3 linked regions of the Struthio camelus genome follow. The main gene of each other region encodes a partner of the protein of the gene in region 2 in a complex. Links are inferred from orthologs where the notes say so. Each region holds a gene or a part of one and is shown on either strand. Other genes may lie near its edges.

The links. Proteins that work in one complex are often made in the same cells at the same time.
Region 1: DRC3 (region 2) and IQCG share a complex: the UniProt entries of both Homo sapiens proteins name them as parts of the nexin-dynein regulatory complex. The link is inferred for Struthio camelus from reciprocal best matches to the Homo sapiens genes DRC3 and DRC9.
Region 3: DRC3 (region 2) and EFCAB2 share a complex: the UniProt entries of both Homo sapiens proteins name them as parts of the nexin-dynein regulatory complex. The link is inferred for Struthio camelus from reciprocal best matches to the Homo sapiens genes DRC3 and DRC8.

Annotation. Positions count from the first base shown.
Region 1 is NC_090950.1:21,486,640-21,494,047, reverse strand, and holds the start of IQCG (dynein regulatory complex protein 9), read left to right. Parts: upstream 1-4,405; 5' UTR 4,406-4,420; coding exon 4,421-4,452; exon of another isoform or gene 4,453-4,693; intron 4,694-7,408. Other genes in the region: RPL35A (large ribosomal subunit protein eL33), read right to left, coding at 171-194, 1,097-1,241, 2,322-2,474, 3,624-3,665, 4,138-4,367. UniProt on the Homo sapiens protein: Component of the nexin-dynein regulatory complex (N-DRC), a key regulator of ciliary/flagellar motility which maintains the alignment and integrity of the distal axoneme and regulates microtubule sliding in motile axonemes.
Region 2 is NC_090956.1:3,768,497-3,776,293, reverse strand, and holds the start of DRC3 (dynein regulatory complex subunit 3), read left to right. Parts: upstream 1-4,784; 5' UTR 4,785-4,842; intron 4,843-5,513; 5' UTR 5,514-5,630; intron 5,631-6,380; 5' UTR 6,381-6,397; coding exon 6,398-6,554; intron 6,555-6,569; exon of another isoform or gene 6,570-6,934; coding exon of another isoform or gene 6,935-7,097; intron 7,098-7,797. Other genes in the region: TOM1L2 (TOM1-like protein 2), read right to left, coding at 4,285-4,336. UniProt on the Homo sapiens protein: Component of the nexin-dynein regulatory complex (N-DRC) a key regulator of ciliary/flagellar motility which maintains the alignment and integrity of the distal axoneme and regulates microtubule sliding in motile axonemes.
Region 3 is NC_090944.1:99,241,809-99,249,776, forward strand, and holds the start of EFCAB2 (dynein regulatory complex protein 8), read left to right. Parts: upstream 1-4,965; 5' UTR 4,966-5,000; coding exon 5,001-5,028; intron 5,029-7,968. UniProt on the Homo sapiens protein: Component of the nexin-dynein regulatory complex (N-DRC), a key regulator of ciliary/flagellar motility which maintains the alignment and integrity of the distal axoneme and regulates microtubule sliding in motile axonemes.

The sequences.
Region 1 (7,408 bases), on a different chromosome or scaffold from region 2:
GGATAGATCAAATCTCCATTTTAAACACCTAGTTCAGACTCACTACTGCATCACTGTGCTGTGGATTCTGATACACTACCCAAAAAAAAATTCTTCAGAACAGTTAGAGGGGATAAAAACACAAGTGTACAAAAATGAAACAGATTCCACATTTTATTTCCAATAAAAATTTAGATCCTAGATGGATACAGCATCTGTAAAAAACAAACAGAATCATGTTAGAAATCTTGTTACTGCACTGTACTGTTTCAAACAAATCTTGCAGTTGCATTCTACAATCATGGATCCCCAACTACTACAAAAACAGGCCCCAATTTTCACAGAAGAGGTGCAAGAATAAAAAAAAGCCTAGCAATTGGTTCAAAGACTTGAAGTATCACTTTGCTGGCAGAGAGGCTCCCTCCCCATGCAGCCAGCCCTTCCATTCACTGAGAGGAGGAGATGCTCATGAGCCTACTTTCAGGCTTTAACCATGCTGTTCCTACCACGCTTTTTGTAAGGCACAGGAAAAACATGAAAAGTAAGGATCGCATCTTTCTGACGCTCCTCTTGACAGTATCACTAGCAAGATCCTGCATGAAAAGCCTGGGTGATGGCCCAAAAGGGAAAGTTTCACTGAAGCCTTGTGACCAAACAAATTGTTGAACAGGTCCTACTGCCGCAAGACTGCGGAGCCCTCAGTGAAAGTGTTTGCAAGAGAAAAGGAAAACTGATGTCATAGCTCCCTTGCCAATGGTAGGAAATGGAGAATAGGAAGCATATAAAAAGAACACGCACAAGATTTAGGGAAGAGGAATCAAAATGGCTTTAGAAAGGAGTTGAGGAAGAATTTAGGAACTTAAAAAGCCTTTGCAGTCAACTTGAATAAGCATACAAACCCCTCAACAATGAGACCAGTCCTCTCAACACAAGAAGCCAGTGCTAAACCTCTTCTAGCTCCAAAAGGAGCACTTACCACAGGGCCATGTTGAACACACAGTAGTAACAGAACGAAGTCATATGTATATTCCAAGCTCTCCCTCGTACTCTGGGAGATTAAAACACATCCCAAAAACACTATCAAAAAACATCTTGTTGCTAAAATATATCCACTTACCACTCGGATTCTGTGTCCAATGGCCTTGGCAGGAAGGTTGGAACGGAACTTAGCACGAACCATGCCACTGTTCCCATGGGCGCGGGTTACCTTCCCCCAAATCACTCGTGTCCTGTTGGGCTTACCACCGGGGGTTACAGTGTTGCTAAAGAAACAGCGAAAAAAAATTCTGAGCATCTCAGTCTTGACTCTGCGCAAGACTGACCAGTGATGGGACAGACAACGTAGCCTCTTTAAGGCACTTCCATAATTGTATTCCAGTCATTTTTAATTGGATCAACTTCCACTTTCATGTGCCCTTGGAAACTGTTACGGCTGTAATTTCCACTACGCCCTCCACATGGAGGGAATATCGTGGCTAGTAATTTATCAGCAGCTCCACTGCAGAGCTACTAATGAGACATAACCTTAAGATGATGAAAAAAAAAAAATCACTGGATGTTAAGATAATCAACATGAAAACTCATAAGCTGTTACTACAAAAAAAAAGTAACATGTTCTAAGATTTCTCCAGATACACCAAAGGGCAAGAGCGGCCTAAGGCACCGGGATAGACTGCGAAAATTGCTTTAAAAAAAAAAAAAGGCATAAACCACCTTGGAAACGAAGATCAACACGCAAATAGCCTGACCAATTTTATTCAGTGCAACTCTGAACTCTTGCATCTAGCTCTCACAATTACACACTAAGTAGAAAGGCATAAGCAACTACTCTAAGGCCTCCACCAACACCAGTATAGCAGAAGTGACATTGCTCTGACACAGGCACGCAAAAGCAGCTCAGGATTCAAACTCCTTCAGGCTGCACTCCAGGCTTCATGTAATGTTCTTCGGCCATTTAAATAATTGAAATGTCATAGTGATCAACACCAATTCAGCTAACTCCAATATACTGCATTATCAGCTTGCCTTCAGCTCTGCTAGCCTCAGAAGCAAAATTTGTTATCCCACTTGTTAATATAGTGTTTCTAAGAGCAAAGCTATTCCCATATAAATACACGATCTGAATTAACAACACAAAGGTCACTTAAAGCAGACACATCCTGAAAAACTTTAAACTGAGACCAACCAAGGAAACTACTCTACAAAACACTCCACGGACAGCCTGTTGACAAGCTCAGCTCAACTTATTTTTGTCACAACAAGAAGTGACTGATCACATCCCAGCCTTTGCAAAAGCTGATATAGGAGTTTCTAATTTAGCACAACAACGAAAAGTTACTTACTTTTTAGCTTTGTACACGTAGGCACATCTTTTGCCCAAGTAAAACTCTGTTTCCTGCCGGGCATAAACCCCCTCAATTTTCAGAAGGGCAGTGTGCTCCCTCTGGTTTCGGAGGCCACGTTTGTAGCCAGCAAAAATGGCCTTGGACCACAACCTAAAAACATTGATAAATGATAAATCACTCCAAGGTATTAGATGCAAAAAACAAATAATGTTCTGTTTCAGAAGGAACTATTTTTACACCAGGAGAAGTTTAGTTGATGAAAAAATAAAGTTTCGTTTATATAGATTTCTACAAACCCTTACAGCCAGTCAACGGAGAAAAGTACCTGGAGCCTGAAGCATTTAAGAACTCTATAACTTTCTTTGTTATAAACTTCTCTTTCTACTACAGCCTTCATACCAAGAGCAAAGCCTTTCAATATTAGCATATGTTATATTTTCAAACATTTGCAAACTGTTTTTGGCATGGGTAAACGTTACTGTTTTCAATACATCACACTAACGTGACAGTCTCCTGTGCTGTACTAACTGCTATAGGAGAAGATATTAACTGTTGTCCATCGTAACACAACTTTGCAGCCTCAAAGGAATTAACTGCAGTCTCTGGGGACAGTCACTCCGTCCACATCCAATGGACAAATTACATTATACTATCACCCCAACAATTTTTCATGACAAAGACCTGTTTGTCCCACCCACTTCAAGCAATTACATGGCTGATTCTATATATCACATAGAAAATATAACTAGTCTCAACTGCATATGCCAACTGGCCCATAATATTACAACGTCAAACTGACTTATCTAGTTTTATCTCCCGTATGTGCATAAGATAAACCCAAGCATATCAAAACAAGACACTGTAATTCAGTTTTCATTTTTCTGGCACATGCAGTATTAACACTCCCTACGTCCATTAAAAAATTGTGGTGTCACAGTACCTCTCTTACTTAAGAAAACAGTATGGGAAAACCTGTACTGTACACTGCAGGCTCTTAAACACCGTGATAACTGAAACCACACTAATGTTCAGCATCAAAAGCCAGGCACTGGAAAGCCTGGCACATCATATGAACAATTACAACCAGTTTAAGGTAGTGGAGACACAACCATAGGTGTTTAACAAAGCAGGCACAGCACAGCGTCAGACAGAGAACTTGTCCAGAAAAAGGGGCAGCCACAGGAAACACGAATCACTGTTTGACGGTACACACTCGGGAATACTCCGTTTACAAGACCACCTGCCAAAAGTGCGGCTGTCACAGCGAGCCGAGACCCCGTATCGGGGCAGGTCACTCACCTCCCGCTCATGGCGTCCTCCTGAAGCCCTGGTCCAGCAGGCCTAGAAACGACACAATGAGCCATGAGCGCCTCGGGCCGACAGCTCACCCGGCAGCCCCTGCCTGCCGGCCGGGCGGCAGCCGCCTCGGCCTGCTCCGCCGGGCCCGGGACACCCGGCCGCCACAGCCGGCGGGCCGGGGCCGCCCACACCACGGCCGGCGACAGCGGCAGAGCGGCCGCCAACCTCCCCACGACGGGTGCTGCCGCCCGCGGGCCGCCAAGGCCGCCTGCTCCCCCCCCCCCCCGAACGGGACGGGACGGCCCGAACGCCTCGCCCCCCCTCAGCTGCGGGCTCCCAACGGCACCCGGGACCATCCGCCACGCATCGGCGCCATCCCGCCCGCCGCCGCCTCCGCTCGGCGCCAGCCGCAGCGCCCCGAGTGCCCCGCGCCCGCCGGCAGCCCCATGGCTTGGGGGGGGGGGAGGGGGGGGGAAGCGGCCCCCTCAGCCCCGCGCCGCCGCTCCCGCCTCACCCCCGCGGCGCCGAGCCAAGATGGCGGCGAAAGAGAGAACAGCCGCGCGGCCTGCCGGGATATGGGCCGGCGTGGACCCCCCTCCCCCCGTGGGTGGCCACGGTGCCGCCTGGGTGGAGAAAGCTAAGACGCCGCAAGTGGTAACAAAGCCCCAGGCGGCCCCTCCTCAGCCCAACGCTCGCTTTCCCCTTGCTCCCACGGGCCGAAATGCGGGGGGGGGGGGCTCTCATCCGGCCTTGCAGGCACCCACAGGGGCAGCCCCAAAAGGTCCCCGGCGGTCACCATGGAGACGGACGCCGCGGGCGCGAAGCCCCGGTGAGCGGCGGGCCGGGCCGAGGGGGCCGTCACCGCCGCGCCGGGCCGGGCCGGGGGCCATCTCGGCGTCCGCTGTACCCGCCTGTCACCTTGCTGGCGGGGAACCGCCACGCCTGTGAAGTCTCACGTTGCGGTGTTTTACCGAATAAGAGCAGACGTGAGCGCGTACTTACCTGTTTCCGCGCGTCGGCGTCGTTCCCGGCTGCTTTCTGCCGCTTCCCTCGCAGGGCCAGGCATTCAGGTGCGTCTACAGAGCGCTTTAAGGGATGCGGGAACCTAATTCCCGTTTCAAATGTACCCTCGCCACCCTGCCTTGCATTGCAACTTTGCTCCGAAGTGTCTTAAACTGCACCTGAGCCTGTGCCCTCCGTGCTTGTATGACGCAGTTAACCTTGGTAACTAAACCTGGTGTCATCTCGTCACCTCGTCAGCCGGGCTCTGAGGGCTCCAACCTGGGCTGAGGAAGTGGATCCTGATCCCGTGAGAAAACTGAGTCTGTCTGCACTTTGCTGGGCCAGGGTAGCAGCACGCCATGCCTTGTGAGCGTGCATAAGCAGGGATCTTTCTTAGACAGATAAAATGGCTGGGGAGGAGGAGCGGAGAGGGGAGGGGGTGTTTTGACTCTCCCAATTCCTGTGTTGGCTTCTGCTTGAAGGAAGAGGCAGCAAGCCCAGTAATGCTCGGTGACCTACTTACTAGGAGCAAAGAGCCTGCTAGGAACCTCTCTGGTCAGAGAAAGGACACGATCCCTGCTTCGAGGGGAACAAACCAACTGTCCAAACACTCACTTTTCCAACAGTACTGATGCCACAACCAATAAATGTTCCCTAACTCTGGTCTTCTCCTGTCCCATACAGATTAAGTCCCATAATAGAGCTAAGAGTAGCACCACGTCTTTTATTCTTTGCACTTAGTTCTAGCGTCTCATCGGTACAGTCTCAGAGAGCAGGAGCTGAAAATGTTTTTCTACAGTCGGAACAAAGCCTGGATGGCATCTCAAAGCCAAAACCAAGATTACTTTAATTTATCAAGTTTTATTTTCTCTTTTTTCAAACGAGCAACTTATTTTCTAACATTTGTAGTAGTAGAGTTTAGTAAGACCACAGCGGCTTTGCTCGCCTAATAGACGTTGTTCTAGAAAAGCTAAGATATGCTGTATGGTCCAGTTCTGCCACTGTGGGAACTCAGAGGTTTCACTTTGACAGTATGTTTGCAAAACAGAGCTAAAGGAGATGTGACATTCTCAGCTTTGAATTTTCTCAGTGGAATTCATCCGTATTGCTACTTCTTAACTGACTAAAGAGGATGCTGCAGAAATGCTGCCTAAAAGCCTACTGTCTTTGCAGCCTTTTCAGTTTATCAGGCAGCAGGATGGGAGAAATGTACATGCAGGGCTCTCACACAGCAGAGGGAGTTACAATTCCCCAAGGAAGGAACAGTAGGCCAGACTTTTTATACAGTTGTTTTTAAAATTATTTCTTGATATGTTTTTCTTTTTCTTTAGAACAGCAGGGAAAGAATGTCAGCCTAAACTCTTGGGGGAAGCTCAGTCTTCCACATACCTCTTTTTCGTTAATAGAGTTTAACGAAGGAGTTGAGCAAAGTACAGTGATTTAGGTCAATGTCAGTGACTGAATCAGGATGGTCTGTGGGCACTGCATTCATGCTAAAATCTAGTGAGAGCAGCTCACTATTTGCAGTGTTTCTAAATGCCCCAGACAGTGGTTTCCTTCTCACTTCCAAGTCAACATAAGCCCAGGCAGAGCTTACTGGCTTGGCACAAGCATCTGCTGAGTATACGGATATAAGAGGAAATATATAGGAGGAGCAAATAGGAGGCTTTAAAGAAACATTACATTCCAGCTGTGTGATTTCTTAAAACACATAAATATCTTGAGTTAATTCTCTCCTGGACAGAAGTTGCTGATGGGGTACAGGAAAAGCCATTGCATCCTCCGCTGTTTCCAAATAAGTCACTTTTTCCTATGAGAGCTGCAAGTGTTATTTCTTCTTTCAAAAATGTTGTTGTAATCATTTGTCACAGCTCTCTCAAGAAATCTGTTTTCTCCAAATTTTTATCATTCGGGCTGAACATGTAAGAGACTATTCTCATGTTGTTTAGACCTGAAATATCATGATTTCTTTTTAAAAAAAGGTAAAACAAATTTACATAACAATTAACTAGTGCCTGTTAACTGTAAAGAGACTGTCTGACTTTCTCTGTGTAAAAATACTTAACTCAGATGAACTTGCATCTCCATTTCTACTATTAATGCCAAGTGTGAAAAGAAAAGTGACGTTTATTACTGTTATACAGATTATTAGCTACCTTTAGTTAATCATTTTATCAGATTCCTATCTCAAGCTGTAGCACATTTCTTATAATCCAGAGAAAGGAGAGAAAAAAATCTCAGAAGCAAAGGGAGGAAATCACTTCCTAAGTTAAAGGTCACAATCAAAAGCCCTAAAGAGTGAGATTAGTTATTTAAATAAATATAAGTAGTACAGGAAGGATAGTAAGCCTATTGAAAGTATTTGGAATCACTCCTTTGCTGTTACCTTTTCTGCCATGGTTTTAGCAAGGTTCTTAAAATAGTTTAGGGTGCCTCTGCCATTATCTTGATCTTTCTGAAAGTTAGAAACCTCATCGTAACTGCCTGGCTAAGTGTATTCATGAGGAAATCATACTCCTTTGACCTTGTAACAGTATTATCTTTTAACTTAAATAGCTCTGTCCCTCCCTAGTATCTGCCCTTCAAATATATTTACAGAGAGTAATCACACTCCTCAAGTCGTTTAACCTCTTGTAAAACAGATTCTCCGTTCCTCCAATCACCCCACTAGTCTTCCTCTGTCTCTGCATGTTTTTGAACACAAATGACTAGAAACACGCGCAGTGCCTTATCTGAGTTTAGTGGTGTCTTATACAGTGGCACTGATATTTCTTCCTATCTGC
Region 2 (7,797 bases):
GCAAAAATGTCACCATTACTCCATGTTCTCCAATTTCAATCAATTTTAATCATCTAAGCTGTTCTTGCTAACCTATGGTAAGGATATTTGTTCTAAGAACCTTGAATAGAGTGGTGACACTTCAGATGGCTCCCTTCAACAAAGAAGGATAAAAATGCAATTTACAGTAGGTCACCGAATCTCAAGGCAAATTCTTGCTACTGTCAATTGTGGCTTTTTCCTCAGGCCAGTCTACCTCCAGATACCAAGCACTTTGTCTCCACTGTTTGACTACACATCTTCCTGTATTCCTCCTACTCCCAGGTCAGGAGCGTTCTTCGAAGTAGTCTTCCTCGAGGAATCTAGTCTACCTGCGCTCATACAAATTCACAATATTGACTGAGAAAAATAAAATAAACAATTCAGTCATAAGAACTGGCCCAACTCCCAGTACCACAAAGAATCCTAAATAGACACATCAGCCCTAACGCAGTCCCAGAGACCCGAAGCATCCAGTTCCACCCCTCAGATACTTTCCAACTCTCTCAGAAAGACTGGGTCTGGGGCTGATGGTAAGGCCATCCCTCAACTGTCTGAGCTGGGCTCAACCAGAAGAATGCAATGCAAGATGAAAGTGGAAACTCCAGTGGTCTTTTGGGGTCCACACCCAGCAACAGAGACTGCTGCTGGATTCACGGGAAGCCGGGCACTGATTAAAAGCACGCCACTTGCCAGAAGCAACAGCTGCCACATTCCACACAAAAGCCTGCCCCATGATCTTCACAAGAAGGCCTATTAGAAAGCACTGACAACTGACAAAAGCAACATTATGAAGTGGCGAAGGGACTAGGAAGACTTCTAAGTCTGATGGGATGCTGAAAAGCATCATTTACCCATTAAGTCTGTGAGAAGCAATGGATTCTGCTACATAACCCTGAACAAGCTTCTTAGTCTATACATAAAATGGTGCTATTACCTTGTTTCACTGCAACCTCGGGTATAAAGCAATATGGAAAGGGTAAAACATTTTTTAAATAAATTCAGGAAGCTCCGAGGCACACTGCAACAGCTGACTGACTACCTTCCACATAAAAACCTGCTGAAAACCACCCACTCAACTCTGGAGACAACATTTATAGAGAAGAAAAGACAGTTCAGCGTCCACAGGTCAATCAAAGTATTAAAAACAAATTAAGGGAGGTTTGTAATTAGTAGCAATGGTGAAGTTTTATATTTTCTCTTATGTGACCACTGGAAACTAAACAAAGACTACCAAACAAGCCACTTGCCAAAAATCAGGTAGCTTTCGCATATGAGGAACCCTGCTCCCATTAAATTGGCACTTTAGATGCAAGAGACTCTATCCATCTCCATTACAAATCCTCTGAGCTCATCCTAGCATTACTTTCCCACATTAAGCAAAAGAGTTAACATAAAAAGCCTGCCTAGCTTCAGACATTATCCAGATGAAGAGAAGGGGGAAAAGAGAAAATCCCTTGTATTAACACCCTCAGCTCTCCCAAAACCTTTTCCGATATCTTTGTTCTGTCAGACCTGGCATTTATCTGAAGACATTGTCTAGCCCTAATTAAATCTTTATGTGAACCACTGCTACTTCCTGGCAGAGAACATGCATTCTTGGTGTGCTGATGGACCTACATAATTTTCACTTCTCCCTTATGGTGAGTGTTAGGCCTTGCTTGAAAACATCACAACTGTGTTCAACACAATATGTTTAAACAGAAATATGAAATTATTCAGTTCCTTTTAAAGAATGAAGAGAAACATAAGTGAAAATTATATCCCACAAGCTCAATGAAAAAAAAAAAAAACTGTGGAAACACAGAGCAAATAGTGCTGCCTGAGAACAAGGCATGCTTTTGTTTTACTGTTGTCTCAGAAAGGCATAACTGGCAGTGATATAAGAAGCAGTAAAATTTCTCTTCCAAAATAAAATCTGCAGCTATCTCTTCCCCTCCCGACGCACAAACAAATTTTGCATTATGGGAAGTCGCTTTATAAACCCCTCATACACACCTAACCGTATCTGATGAAGATAGCTCCCTCAGAACTTTGTGTTAGAAGTCTTTAAGTTGGCAGCTATTGCTCGTTCAAAGAGAACAAGGGGATATAAGAGCTATGCAAATTTTTAAACTCCCCAGTTAGAAAGGCAGAAAGCTAGAAAAGCAGATTTTATTGTTAAAAAACCCAATAATTATGTCTTAAAGAGGCCCCTTTAAATTACTTACTGATGCTAAAGGAATCTGACATTAAATAGATTAGAAATTATTGCCTTCCCTAACAATGCTTATTGTAGATGCCTTGTCCAAGCAGCAAAGCAGACAGCTGTCCTGGCAGATGTTATCAGATGGCCAAACACAACAAAGCAAATTCACTTTAAAATCATATTTAACTTTCACAGTTCTTGTTATTATCCTCAAATTCTCAGCACTTCTCTCCCTAACCAAAAGAAATAAACACCCCAGATGGCTAAAGAAAAACAGCAAGATATACATATGCTCTGTATAGCCTGACAAAGCAAGAGTCCAGCCATCTTCAAAGCACAGTGTGAGATTTAACCATTTAAGAGCCTTTTAGTTCTACAATGGGGCATCTCTGCATGTGTGGGTGAGACTACTATAAAACATCTTTGGGGTTGTGAGGTCATGACCAGATACTCTGCAAAATTTTTCCACTTTATTTGCCACTGACACAAGTCTTCCGTCAATCCATAAATTAATGTAGAACAGCTATAGATTATACTTCACATAGCTATAGATTATGCTATCTATAACCCTTAAATAAGGCATTAGGATTACTGTCCCTTAAGAAACAAATCAAGACACAAAGAAATTAAGAGCATGGTCTCACTGGAGAGGGATACTGGTACAATAGCATTCAACTGAACATCGCTTTGGCTTCTGGGAGTGTATGCCAAGGCTTCTGTGCTGCAGGAACCTGAGCCAGACTATTGTTCTTTCCCACCGAAAAGTGGGAGATCTTGTATTTCTTTGGGGCCTAAAAGCAGAAAGCGGGAGGGAATGACAGCTCATGCAGCTGTGGGCAACTTATTAACCTCTGCAAAAGCAGAGTCTGGGCTTTCTCCCATGGTCCCAGCTGTGACAGCCCAGATCAAAACCAGACTTGCCACAGATGAGAATGAACGTATGTGTAGGAGGGAAGGAGTAGACATAGCAACCCCGTAAGGGCTTGGCTAATTTTACAGTGACAATATACTCAAAACAATCTGCCTAATGTTAACAGATCATTAGCAAAACAACAATTCAAGCTCTGGGCTGAAGACTGAGCAGGTGCTTATACCTCTAAACCTCGTCACCTTCCCTACATATGCACAGGTCCTTAGAGGTTTCAACACTTTGGGAACAGGACGGCTGAGGCTGAAGAACATAACAATTCTGTAACAAGGCGCTCACATGCAGGGAAGGGAGCTGGAGGAAGCACACAACTTTCCTTCATCCATCAACTGTCTTGAAGTGGAGTAGCTCCTTCCTCATAGCAACCAGAAGCCCAGAACCCTGGCCTAACCCCAAAACTGCTAACCCCTGAACCCTCTGTCACCCACAGAGCCCTCCACTAACCCCCAGAGATAAACACTGAGTCCTCAGAGCCCCTCAAGAAGCCCTAGAGCACCCACACATCCTGATAGCTCCCCATTACCTCCACAGACCCCACCAATCCCCAGAGATCCACCCTACCTCCAGAAACCCTGCACTACCTCCACAGACCCCACCAATCCCCAGAGATCCGCCCTACCTCCAGAAACCCTGCACTACCTCCACAGACCTCACCAATCCCCAGAGATCCGCCCTACCTCCAGAAACCTCCCACTACTCCACAGCCCCCTATTAACACCCACAGGCCTCTCACTGCCTCCAGAGATCCCCATTAACTCCTGCAGATCCCCCATTAGCTCCAGAGTCCCCTGTTGATGCCACAGTTGTCCTTCTGCCTCCAGAGTCTCCCATTAACCCCCACAGATCCTCCCACTGCCCTCAGAGACCCCGATTAATGTCCAGAGGCCCTCCACTGCCTTCAGAGCCCCCTATTAATCCCCTTAGTTCCCCTACTGCCTCCAGAGACCCCCATTAACCCCCACAGAAGGCCCCATCGCCTCCAGAGACCCCCATCAACGCCCGGAGATCCCCATTACCTCAAGCCCCCCTCCCTGCAGCAATCCCCCAAAACCCCCACAGGCCCTCACCACCCCCAGTGTCCCCAGTAACCCTCAGAGCCTCCTCCAACTTCCCCCGCCCCGAGCTCCCAGCGGCCTCCAGCCGGCCTTACCGAGGCTCTGCCCCACCGGGGTGCTGAACGGGTTCCCCAGCAGAAACTCCATCTTGGGATGACAACAAACAGCGGCCCGGCGGCCCCCCCTCCCCCACCCCGCCCTGACTGGCACCCGCCCCCACCAACCGCAGCATACCCTGCCAGGCGAGGCCCGCCTCCTTGCATCCGATTGGGCCGAGACTGCACTCCCCGTGGTCTCACAGGTTAAAGAGCGTGTCCATCACTGTCAAGTGAAGGACCCGCCCCGTCGGTAATCCACGCCCTCCAGTTGATCGACAGCAGGGATATCGCTATAGGCATTCACCATTGGGCAACTGCCAAACCGTTCTCTAAGACTATTGGGCAAGTTCCACGTCAATCACAAGTGCTTCCTCCCGCCCCAAGGGCACGGTGCCCGCTCTGATTGGCTGACACCGTTTTCTCGCGCTCTGATTGCTAGACAGCCTTCCCACCCACTCCCTGACCATTGGCGGCTCAGCTTGTCACGTGGCCTTGCTTAGCAACGGGCCTGGGCTTCCGTAGCAGTCGGCTTGGAGGCCTGGGGCTGAGGCGCAGGTGGGAGCGGGGCGGTGGAGGGGGCCAGGCCGGGGGCCTGGGGCGCCGCAGAGGTCGGGGGGCCGGGGGCTTGGAGGACCGGGGCCTGGAGGCCGGGCAGCCGTGGGGCTGAGGCCCCAGGACGGCTTGGGATGGGGCCTGGGGAGGCCAAGGGGCCTGGGGTCTCTGGTCCCTGCAGGCAGCCACAGCGGCCAGCAGCCCCCTTCTCAGGGGGAAGGAGGGGAGCCCGCCTGGGTTAGTGTCACCTGGATAGGGAGGGTGAGAGGCACCGTCCTGGGCCCTGCAGCGCCTGGGGGTGTTGGGGGATGCGGAGTTGCTTCCCAGGCCTGGGCTTGTGCCGATGGTGAGCAGCAGCACCTTGTCTGGGTGATGCATCCACTGCTCTCATTTCCGCAGTGCCCAGATTGCTCCTGCAGAGTGTCAGCAGGCTGCAGACCTTGACGGTTTGGTTAGATCTGTGGCACTAACATTAGCTAAAGAGATGACAGACAAATGCAAGGAAAAGGCAGTGGAAAGTCCAGCAGGTCACAGATGAATGAATCCATGATGTGCTGCTATTCCTTGGGCTGTGTTGAACATGGTCATATAGAGAGTTGGTTTGTTACTTAAAAGCATGGTTAGGATGGAATTATCTAAATTCAAGCATTTCTCATTCCTGTGCTCCTATGCAGAGAAATCAGCCAAACTTTTTCCATGAAGTGAAGGTTTGAAGATTCAGGTCCTTCATACTGAGTCTGTGCGCAGTTCCAGAAAGACAAGCAGCCTCATTGCCTCCAGGGAAACGTTAGGTATATTTAAATAACAAAGCAAGGGCAGAGAGTTAGGAATTGTGGATTTCCTAAATCAGTTGTCAGAGTGAACGTATAAGTGTTCAATGCTATATATTGACTGAAATACACTGCCTCGGTCAGATGACCCTTACTGTGGATCTCTATTCAGTGTTTGCTTTAGCGAATCATTGCTATTGTTTATAAGTTTTCCTCCTTCCCCAAATTTGTTTTTATTTTCATTATGAAATCAGTGTTTAAAATTTAGCAAACTGCTGTTACTAACATATGGTCTCTTACTCTATAAATCAAACCTTCCTATAATGGTAAACTTGCCTTTCAAAACTAGATTTATGTGGTATACAGAGCCTTGAATAGGCCATTTCCATAAAGATGGATTTCAGCAACAAGTGACTGCCATGTGAAGGATCCTTCCGTACAAAACACTCGTTGTTTATAGGGCACAGGGCCTCCTTTAGCTGTTCTGTTTATCTGGCCAAATATTTACATTCTTTATGGAAAACTCTCAAATATGGTGTGAAGTTTGCCTGTTGTAACCTGCTAAAGTTGCCTGCCTGTACGGTTGTGCTCAGCGTAGCATCAGTGACTTTGTGGTAAAAGTAAAATACCTCTTTGATATCATCCGTGAGGTATTAAATCCTCTCAATACCCAGCTATGTTTTTGTTATCTTTGGAACTGTTATGCCATTTCAATAAATTTTGGAAATGGTAGCCAGGCAGTGGCTTTATTTATTTATTTTTTCTTTTAAGGCGCTTATCATCTAAAAATGAGTCAATTATACAATATCATTGAGCCAAATGTGATCAGCGAAGAAATGGTTCAGAAAGCTGTGGAAGAGCAAAGTCAAGATGAGGCAGGGCAGCTTGCCAAAAGGGAAGGTATTAGTTTTAAAGACGTCACAGAGCTACAGTTCAGTTTTAGAAGTGAGTATCAGAATATATATATTATATGTTTATTTATTAGAGGGTAGAAGAATTAAGCATTGAGTGGCTAACTGGCAATTATGTAATCATGATTAGCTTGGATTTGGTATATGAATAGTAAGGGACTGGACTTACATTTTTAGTCATACTTGTATGAAGTAGTTTCAGTAGAGAGAGCTGGGGGGCTTTGCTGATTGATAACTTTAAAGCTGCTTAACTTTGTGCTATTATTGTCACTGCCGTTCTTATTTAACATTTATATTGTGGTGACACCTACAGGCCATAGGCCTGTTGGGCCCTTTTATATGTGGACAAATCAAATGCTGGCCAAGCTGTTAGTGACCATCGCTGGCTATTACGTGAGGGCTATTTGGTAGCTTATGGCGATGACAGTTCAATTCAGTGGCCTCCCCTGGCCACCCATAGCATTAGGCCACCTTGCCTTTTACTGTCAAACCAGACATAAACTTGCATTCAAAAAACAAAAAAAAAAAGAAAAAAGAAAAAGAAGAACATCTGGCTCACTATTTGAGTATTTTCGGGGTACGTAATTTCATGGACAAAATCTGCTTTTGCTTATTCATTGTGTGCTCCAGTAAAATGTGTACTAAGAAACTCAGAGGATACACGCACTTCCTGTTACTTGATTCTGCATACATTTGTGTGCAAATCAGAACATGGCACTGCGTGAGTATTTAATGCATGCAGTTCCTTGCTTTACATTGCACTCGCTAAACAATAGCACCTAACAAAATCTTCAGGGAATTCATTGGCATAAAGAGAATTGGGGTGAGAATGTTTCATATTTTGTCACCTTGGTTCTAGTGTTTTCCTGTAATGCCTAACAGCCTGCCCTTGTGATGGAGTTTCTGGAGAAAGCTAAATGCAGTGATATTGATCAGCTCTGAACTGCAGCCTTCACAGAAACAGTAGTCCCCGACCTGCTCTCCTGTAATGAGAATTTCAGGGGCAGGAGAGTAACTTACAAAAGCAGTAGCTGGCTGCCAGGAGCCTGCAAATGCAGAGGAAAGCAGAGGTTCATCCCAAACCTCGCTCTTGGAGCTGGAAAGCAAAATGAATGTCAAGGCCTCCTGGTAGTAGATTCATAAAGCCGCTCTTGACTGCAGTGCTGTAGTCAGCACCGCCTTAGTGACTCATTGGCATCACTGATTAGCAGTGTGTGCTGGTGCAGGACACTGAGGTTAACCTGGCTGCTGCGCTGAAATCCTCATCCAGCCAGTGG
Region 3 (7,968 bases), on a different chromosome or scaffold from region 2:
TTGCTAGGCAGATGGATTATTGTATTTTGTTCCTGCCAGAGTGTTCTCAGGGATTCTGGCTTCATTTCTAGATATAATTAATGTTAATAAAGTCTGAAGGTTAAAATATGTGGGTCTCTAGGGCTACTTCTGTGTCTGGGTGGGCTGGAGAACAGCATCCAGGCAGTTGGATATAAAAGTAAGGTTTTCTTTTCTGCTACAGCTCCTTAGGCATAGTCCCAGAGGCTAAGCGCTGTCAGTAGTGCCTTGACATTGAGGAATATTGCTGAGGGGAAAAGGTGCTTCCCTTTTCCTAGTAACTCTTTTTAATGTGTGTTCAGTCACTTTCCCCAAACACAGCTTTGCGGAGGCAGGAGAGGAGCATCTACAGATCCATAGGATCATACCTGTACATGGGCAGCAGGAGATACTTGCCTGGGCACTTCGAGTGCCATCCTGTGGACTGAGAAGGATTTGAGATGCTGTCATTATAAGCCACCTTAGAACCTATTGTTTCCTTTCTTCCTTCCTTGTTTGATTTACAGACTCAGCCAGCAACTGAGCTTTCACCTTCCAAAAGAATATCTCCCGCTTGCTGCCTTCATCCTCCGTATTTCTTCCTCACTTCTACTTGCACGGTCCAACTCCCTGCCTATGCTGGTTCAGGCACTTGTCAGGCCCTTTGTTGAACTTATTAACATGGCAGAAAACAATCCACTTCGGATGGATTATCTTTTGCTACATTAGCGAGTCAAATCTGCTCACAATGAATGTCCGAGCTAGCACAAGGTGGAAGGTGGATGTACAGTCAGCAACAAGAGAAAGAGGGGCAGGAATAGAAGAAAGGGCTCGATCCTCCCCTTTCAGCCTCAGTGAACTCCCCATCTCTCATGCAATCATACCTTCAGATAACTTATTCAGGAGGCCAGGATTTGGGCTTCTTGGGTTAAGTCCTTGTTTATTACCTGAACGGAAAATGAAGGAACTATCATGTAAATTTATGTGCTTATTGCTCTTCTGTTGGTTAGAGTTGCACCCGAAAGGCTCTTCTTTCTTTTTCAAAAAGAAAACAAAATAGATAGACAAGATTCTGATGAAAATACCAGCAGTTTTGAAGAGGTCAACGGCAGAGCTATTAGTGGTGGGTATGCCTACTGTCTGGCTCTGCCCACTCTATGAGGCTTCTCTTCATCTGGTCCAAGCATAGGCTCAACAGACTCTAAGGAAAAAAGGAAACAAGCAGGAAGAGAAGACATTTCCCTCCCACACATCAAGGAATGAGGTATCTGCTCTCAATGGAATTTACCCAAAATTTGAAGGGAAGACATAGTATAGGTAAAGAACAGTCTTTTTTCTCATTTTTTATCTAGTTGCTGTATATCATTTGAGTGAACAGATAATGTTTTGCTAATACCCCATTTTGAAGAAGCTGTTACTGAGTCACTTGAATCAGCTGCTGATCCGAAGGAAGACCGAAATGAAGATGCCAAATGCACTGGGGTCTTTCATGTTATATTGGGGGAAAAGGGCACTGCCACCCAGAGATACATTTTAGCTGTAAGAACTTAGGCAGAGGAGTAAAGGTAGACTCCAGTTACAGAATCACAGCTATTACTTTGCTTTCTCTGTGAAGGGCAAATGTGTCTTCAGTTATATGGTCTGTTCAGATCCACAGAGGGAGTCCCATAGCAAAGATTTTCAACATGTGTTCACAATAAAGATGTGTCCAAACGCTGCAATCCCAAAACCATGGAGGGTTGGTAGGCATTATTGTGCCTCCTGAAAATACTTTATCTTTTACATCACTTTTCCCATTTTAGTACTACTTTTTTAATGCCAAACAAAATGTCTATGTACAGAAAATATACAAAATGTGTGATAGGTCCCTGATATTTGAGAGGAATGTATGTGATGAAATTCCTTAAGTGCAGAAGTAAGGGTGCCTTCTTTCTATTAGGCTTCAGTGGATTCAGACTGGACATCAACATAGCTGGTTTCTTCCATATTTTTCCCTGAGATATTTTTTGACATTTTTAAACGAAAAATTACAAGTTTAAAAGGGTATGTTCTCTTCAGAGGAGCTCTTTAAAGATCTTGCATGTAGCGTAGCAGCTGATATTCCAAGCTGTTGAATTAGTAGTTCTGGGTTTCCTTTTGTACTTGTCTGTGCCAAAACACGATTAGTTGTTTCAGCCCACTCATACCCTTGGTTTGAGATGTCTGTGCATTAAGTTAGAAGGGAAACAGTCATGTGGTTCAGGTCCAATATTTGATCTGCATCATAACTGTTACCATTTTTTTCCTTCATTTTTCAAGATAGCGTTGCCAGGAAATTTTAAAACAGTGAGTTTTCATTTTGAAGCGCTTTCTCATTGCGTATTTTGTTCTGCTCCTGCAGACAGGCAAGATGCCCAACCCTGTGTATCAGGAGGTGGGGGAAGAAGGGGAAACAGGTGCTGACATTTGGCCACAAGCTATTCAAAGCAAAAGGAAACTCTAGGCTGGAGCAGGGGATGCAGACAAAGCACTTTGATTTACAGTACTCGTCATGAGTGCAATCTCAACAACAGGGGCAGGATAGGGCAAAATATTGTTTGCTGATATTAATGATAGCTGTAAGTGACGAAAGATTTTGCAGCGAGGTTAAAGGTATCAAACTTAATGAGTTTGATACAAAAATCCAGGATTTGACCAATACCTTTATCTACTTGGTATAATGCTGTCCTAACGGAGCTATTGTACCATCTGGTGAGGGTCTGGTTCAGCTGCTACAATAGGATGCAGACATTGTGAGTATGCAGCATTTCCTACTGGAAGCGAAAGACAGTTTTTCCCTTTCTTTTTAGCTTTTACACACTGCTTCTGTTGCCCTCATTCTTCGAGGAAGTTAAAACAAGTGTGGGGAGAAGACCCGAGTTCAAACCCTTAGGCTGGTGAGGTAGACCAAGCATAGGCCCTGGGGAAATTACTGGAAAGATGTTAAATGTACTGGCCTGAGTGAAATTCCTTTCTCACCTCTTCATATTTGCAAAGACTCACTTCAAGTCAAAGGCAACTGTAAAAACACAAGATTTTTAATAAATTAGCATGATAAGCAATATTTATATCTATTTTAAAACTGGTGGTTGTTCATATTTTGGGTATGGGTTTGGCAAGAAAACCTAAATGAGACTGAAATAGGATTTTTAAAAGCATTTATTAGAACTTGGTAAACACTGTGAATAACTTAGCATTTGTTGAAGAGCTCTGAAAGTTCTCTGTTGAATCAGGTAATCTGGAAAATAACACAAGAAATCTAATGCCGGAGAACAATATTGGAGAACATGAAATTTCACAATTGGGGTAGAGGAGGGAAGTACTAACTAAGAAAGCTCTGAGCTTGTCCAACAACGTATTTGGCACTTTTCTTCAGTTTCAAACATGTAACTCATTTGCCACAGACACACAACCAGTCAGGACAAAGGTTTTGCGTGTGGAAGTCTTGAGAGAATAAGAAATGGGACCGCTGTAACATTGAAAGATAACAACAGCCTTTCCTTGTGCTGCTGCTAGGCCCTCTTCCTTTTGCTGCCATGCTGCTGCTCTCACCAGAACTTCTTCTATAAATTTGAGAGGAAACAAATCCATGCTCCTCATGCAGTCAAATATGTACTTTGAAATATTTAGTTACTTTCGTAAACCGTTCAAGTCTACAGATTACCATTCAGAGGGATCAGCTTTGCTCAGAGAGCACAAACAGCTGTTTTCCCAACAGAGTAATTGTGTGTTCTCTTGGGTATCTATTATACCCACTTTATTCTGAGCTACATTCAATAAAAATGCAGAAATAAATGGCTGAAAGGCACTGTGGATTTCTATTTCCTGCAAATAGCAAATGTTATTAAAAAGCAAGTTATTTTTTAGAGCAAGGAAGTCCTATCTCTGCTCAATGGGTTGCTTGAAATTTCAAGCTTCCATGAGTGCTGAGCACATCTAACTGTTTCTTTGAGAGGTGGATAAAGGTGTGTGAGGAGGAACCATCCACCTGAGCTTTGCAAAATTTAAACATCTGGCAAATAGGCACCCGCGGTGGCAAGGACCAGGTTCTAGTTCTAGGAATTTCATAAAAGCGTTTTTTTTTTTCTATGAATATATGATTGCATCTGATTGGAAAATTAATTCTTATTTTATCTGTATTTTCTGTACTTCCGTAGTTGTTTTTAGAGTTGGAAGAACCATGAATTGCAAACACGTCTGCTAAAAGATGTACCTAGAATTTTAGCCGTGTAGTTCTGTTTAGGATTAGTGGATAGACTATTTTAGGGGTTTCAGGGTGGTGGTATTCAGAAGGAAATGTTCCTTCACTGTCTGAAGCTCAGATACGTGGGAAATTATGCAGCTGCTGGGAAAACTCAATTTAGAAGAGCATAGACTATTGTGAAACAGCAACATCTCTCGGGCTCCTTCACAGCCTGCCAGCCAGGGCAGCGGCGTGCTGCGAGCGACGCTACCTCGCAGGCCAGCGGTACTTTCCCATTGCGTTTTCTACCTCCTTGGTAGCCGGGGGGGTACCGCAGCGACTACCGCTCGCTGCGGCGCGCGGTCCCGGGCGGTTTGGGCGGCGGGCGCTGCTCCCGCTTCGAGCGAGGCCCCGTCCGCTGCCCGCTGCGGGGTGCGCGCTGGCGTGGCCCTTCACCCGCCTTTTGGGGCTCGGCCGCCACGGAGAGCTGGCGTGTAAGGTCAACGCTCAACGCCGGCCACGAGCCCCGCCAGTGACCTTCTATTTGCCTTCCGCGGCGCGCGCCGAGAGGCCTCAGTTAAGGGCGATTTCGGGGGCCGCGAAGCGCCCTCGCTGCGGCGGGGCCCCGCGCCCAGGCCGCCGCTTACCGACAGCACGGACCCCTCCGCCGCCGCCAGGCAGCGCCGCCGGGCCCCGGCCGGCCGCCGCTCACCGGCCTGAGCCGAAGCCCGGGCCCGGCCGCGGGCCCGGCGGCGCTGACGGGCGGCCCGCGTCGCCATGGCGACGGCGCAGAGCTGGCGCCATGGCGGAGGAGGAGGGGAGCAGCGAGGGTAAGGCCAGGCCGGGGCGAGGGGAGCCGCCCGCAGCCTCTCGGCCGGGCCGGGCCGGGCCGGGCCGCCGCCGGCGCGCTTGGCCGCCTGGGGCTGCGCCGGAGCCGCCCGGCGGGTGGCTGGCTGCGGCCTGCGGAGCCGCGGGGCTGCTGCCGGCCGGGCCCACGGGCACGGAGAGACGCTGCGCCCGCCGTCCGCCCCACGCACGGTGGCAGCCAGACACCACACGGGCACACAAATGCGCGGAGACATAAAGACACACACACACACCCCCCTGTGCAGCACCACCGCCTCTTACCTGCCCCTGCCTCCGGGGGAAGGGCTCCTTCCCCAGCACTCCCTGTGGTGGAGGATGCCACCCCTGGGTGATGCCACCCCACCAGGAGATGCCACCCCTGGGTGATGCCGCCCCAGGCAATGCCACCCCGGCCGCGCTGTCACCACTTGGGGTGGCTTCGGGGGTGGGGTGGGGGGGCTAAACCAGCTGCTTTAGCCAGTTGGTCATCTCCTCTTTCATTCATTTTTGGATGTGTCAGGCGACCTCTGCCAAAAAAAAGTAATCTGGGCTGCTGATAGCATCATGACTTATTTTTAGAGGCAAGCATGTTCTACTTTAGCAAGCATTAGCAGAAATGATGTTTTATAGGCTAAGGGTAACTCCCGCCGCAAGGATATTCAAGTATCATTTCAAGAAAAGCAAATGTACTTCCTGTAAAACTCACAATACTGCGACTCTTAAAACTCACCCCTCATTTCCGTAAATAAACTGGTGTACATAGTAATATTTTGCAAATTCTAAATATTATATTTAATCTAAATAATGAATTATTTCATATTATTCAGGAAAAACAGTATCCTCCATAGAGAAATCCTGTATAAGCATTTGTTGCGGATAGTGCTGAATGAGTAACTCGATTTCATTAGAAGTATTTCTAAGACAGACTTTGCGGTATAGAGATCTCGCATAAAGTAAGAACTAAGACCAGTGTAGTTTCAACGAGGACTGTTGCTAACGGTATTACTTCTTGAATATTGTTTTCCATCTATGTTTAGTCTTGCAAAAGCATTTTTTTTTCAATCATTCCAGTTTTACAAATGAAGCTGAAGCACAGTACTGGTAGAGATAGATAGGTAGAGAGTTTAGGATAAGAGTCTAGAAGGCTGCTGACCCGTCTGAGAAGAGGCAATCTGGTGTTTTAGCAGGATAGCCGTGATATTGGCAATGTCTGGCTCCACATATTTTGAGCGCCCATACACACGTGAGATTTTGCACCGTTTTGGCAATCCACAGGCAAAAACTGTTGGAGAAGGAAGCTTGTGGTTTTTAGGTTGCTTGAGTAATGTGTTTTAATGCAGGTTTTGTAGATTCAAAGTGAGGATGCTTTTTAAAAGGTTTAATTACTGTATTACTGAAGAAACATATTTTGGTTTTTTTTTGCTTCTTATTTTTTAACATCCTGTAAAACACTTCCTAATAGGTATCAAATGTAGGAATGCCTCCTTCTATAGGAAAACAGTCCGTGCTGCCATCCTAAGCAACCCTGACACCTCAACTCCATTCCTAGCCCTATTGGACTTCCCAATGGATCGTGGGAAAGCAACATACTGGACTTTAGTTTCCTATCCATAAAATGAGGCCAATAAGCTCTATCACGTGGATATTTCAAGGACAAGACATGTAGCTCACCTTTAATCACTCAAGGGAGTTCTACTCTTTTATTAGGCGGACAAGTTGCTTCTTACCTCATAAAGGTTTCTCTTTATTATAAACACGTTTGAGGCAAACGAGCAGCCAGTGTCTCGTTAAACTGCAGAAGGAGTCCCACAAGGGTAAGTAGCTTCTACCCATTTTGGAGTTGCTATTAGCCTTCTTATGCATAGCAGTTAGAGGGTTAATTAGGATTCCCCAAATCTAAATTCACATGTTGATCACGCTTTCTTCCAACAAGCATTTCACATATAAAGTAAAAGTTGCAGTTTGTGTATTACGGTTCAAACAGAACAATAACATTAGCTGTATTGTCAAATAATTAGTCTTTAGGGTATTCCCCTCAGTTCTTTGTAGAACGGCAGTTCCTCCAGCTTTCATGGTAAAGGTTTCCCTTAGGTCCTATTATTTTCAAGTTTTGTCTTCTTCGAAGTTAAAATGCCTGCTTAAATATTTTACAGATACACACACACACACACACACACACACAAATGGTGAAAGGTCAAATCCTGCAACCTCTTATGCATAACATTACTCACATGAGTATTACCCTCTAATTTACATTATTCTTGTGAATATAATCCTGCATGCACAGAAGTGTTAGTAGAACATGCCCATAGTATCTGTGGCTATATGTTTTATGTATGAATTTATAGCTCTGTATTTGTGCTGCTTTATTTTTTCAACAATGCTTAATATTTTTCTTTATACTCATTTGATTACAGTAGTCTGTTTGCCTCATCTCTTTTTTTATATTTGTCTGTATCTTCCCTGCCATCATTCTATTTCTTACCCTTCTTTTGCTTCTTAGTTCGGTCTATCTGTTCTTCCATTTGCTCTCAGATACTTTTTTTCTTATAATTTGACATAAGATGTCAGATTTTCTAAATTTTAATATCTCCGATCTCAGTAGTGCTGTTACAAGAACCTGAAAGCAAAATGTCAGACTGGTAGTGCCTGAAGTAGAACTAGACAGAAGACAAGACATATTTTTCTCCAGCTGGGATTTAAGAAATTACATGAAAGTACATAAAGGGAAAAACACTCAGTGTTCCTATGTCATTATGGTAATGCTGTGTACTTGATCAATACTACAGTTTTTCTAAGACAATATTCATTTTGCTAGTTAGCACATGTTTAAAATGCAATTAATGCCACAAATTTTAATCCGAAAGGAATTATATTAAATAGTCTGAGCTCCTGTTTCACGCATTTACACTTATACAAAACTA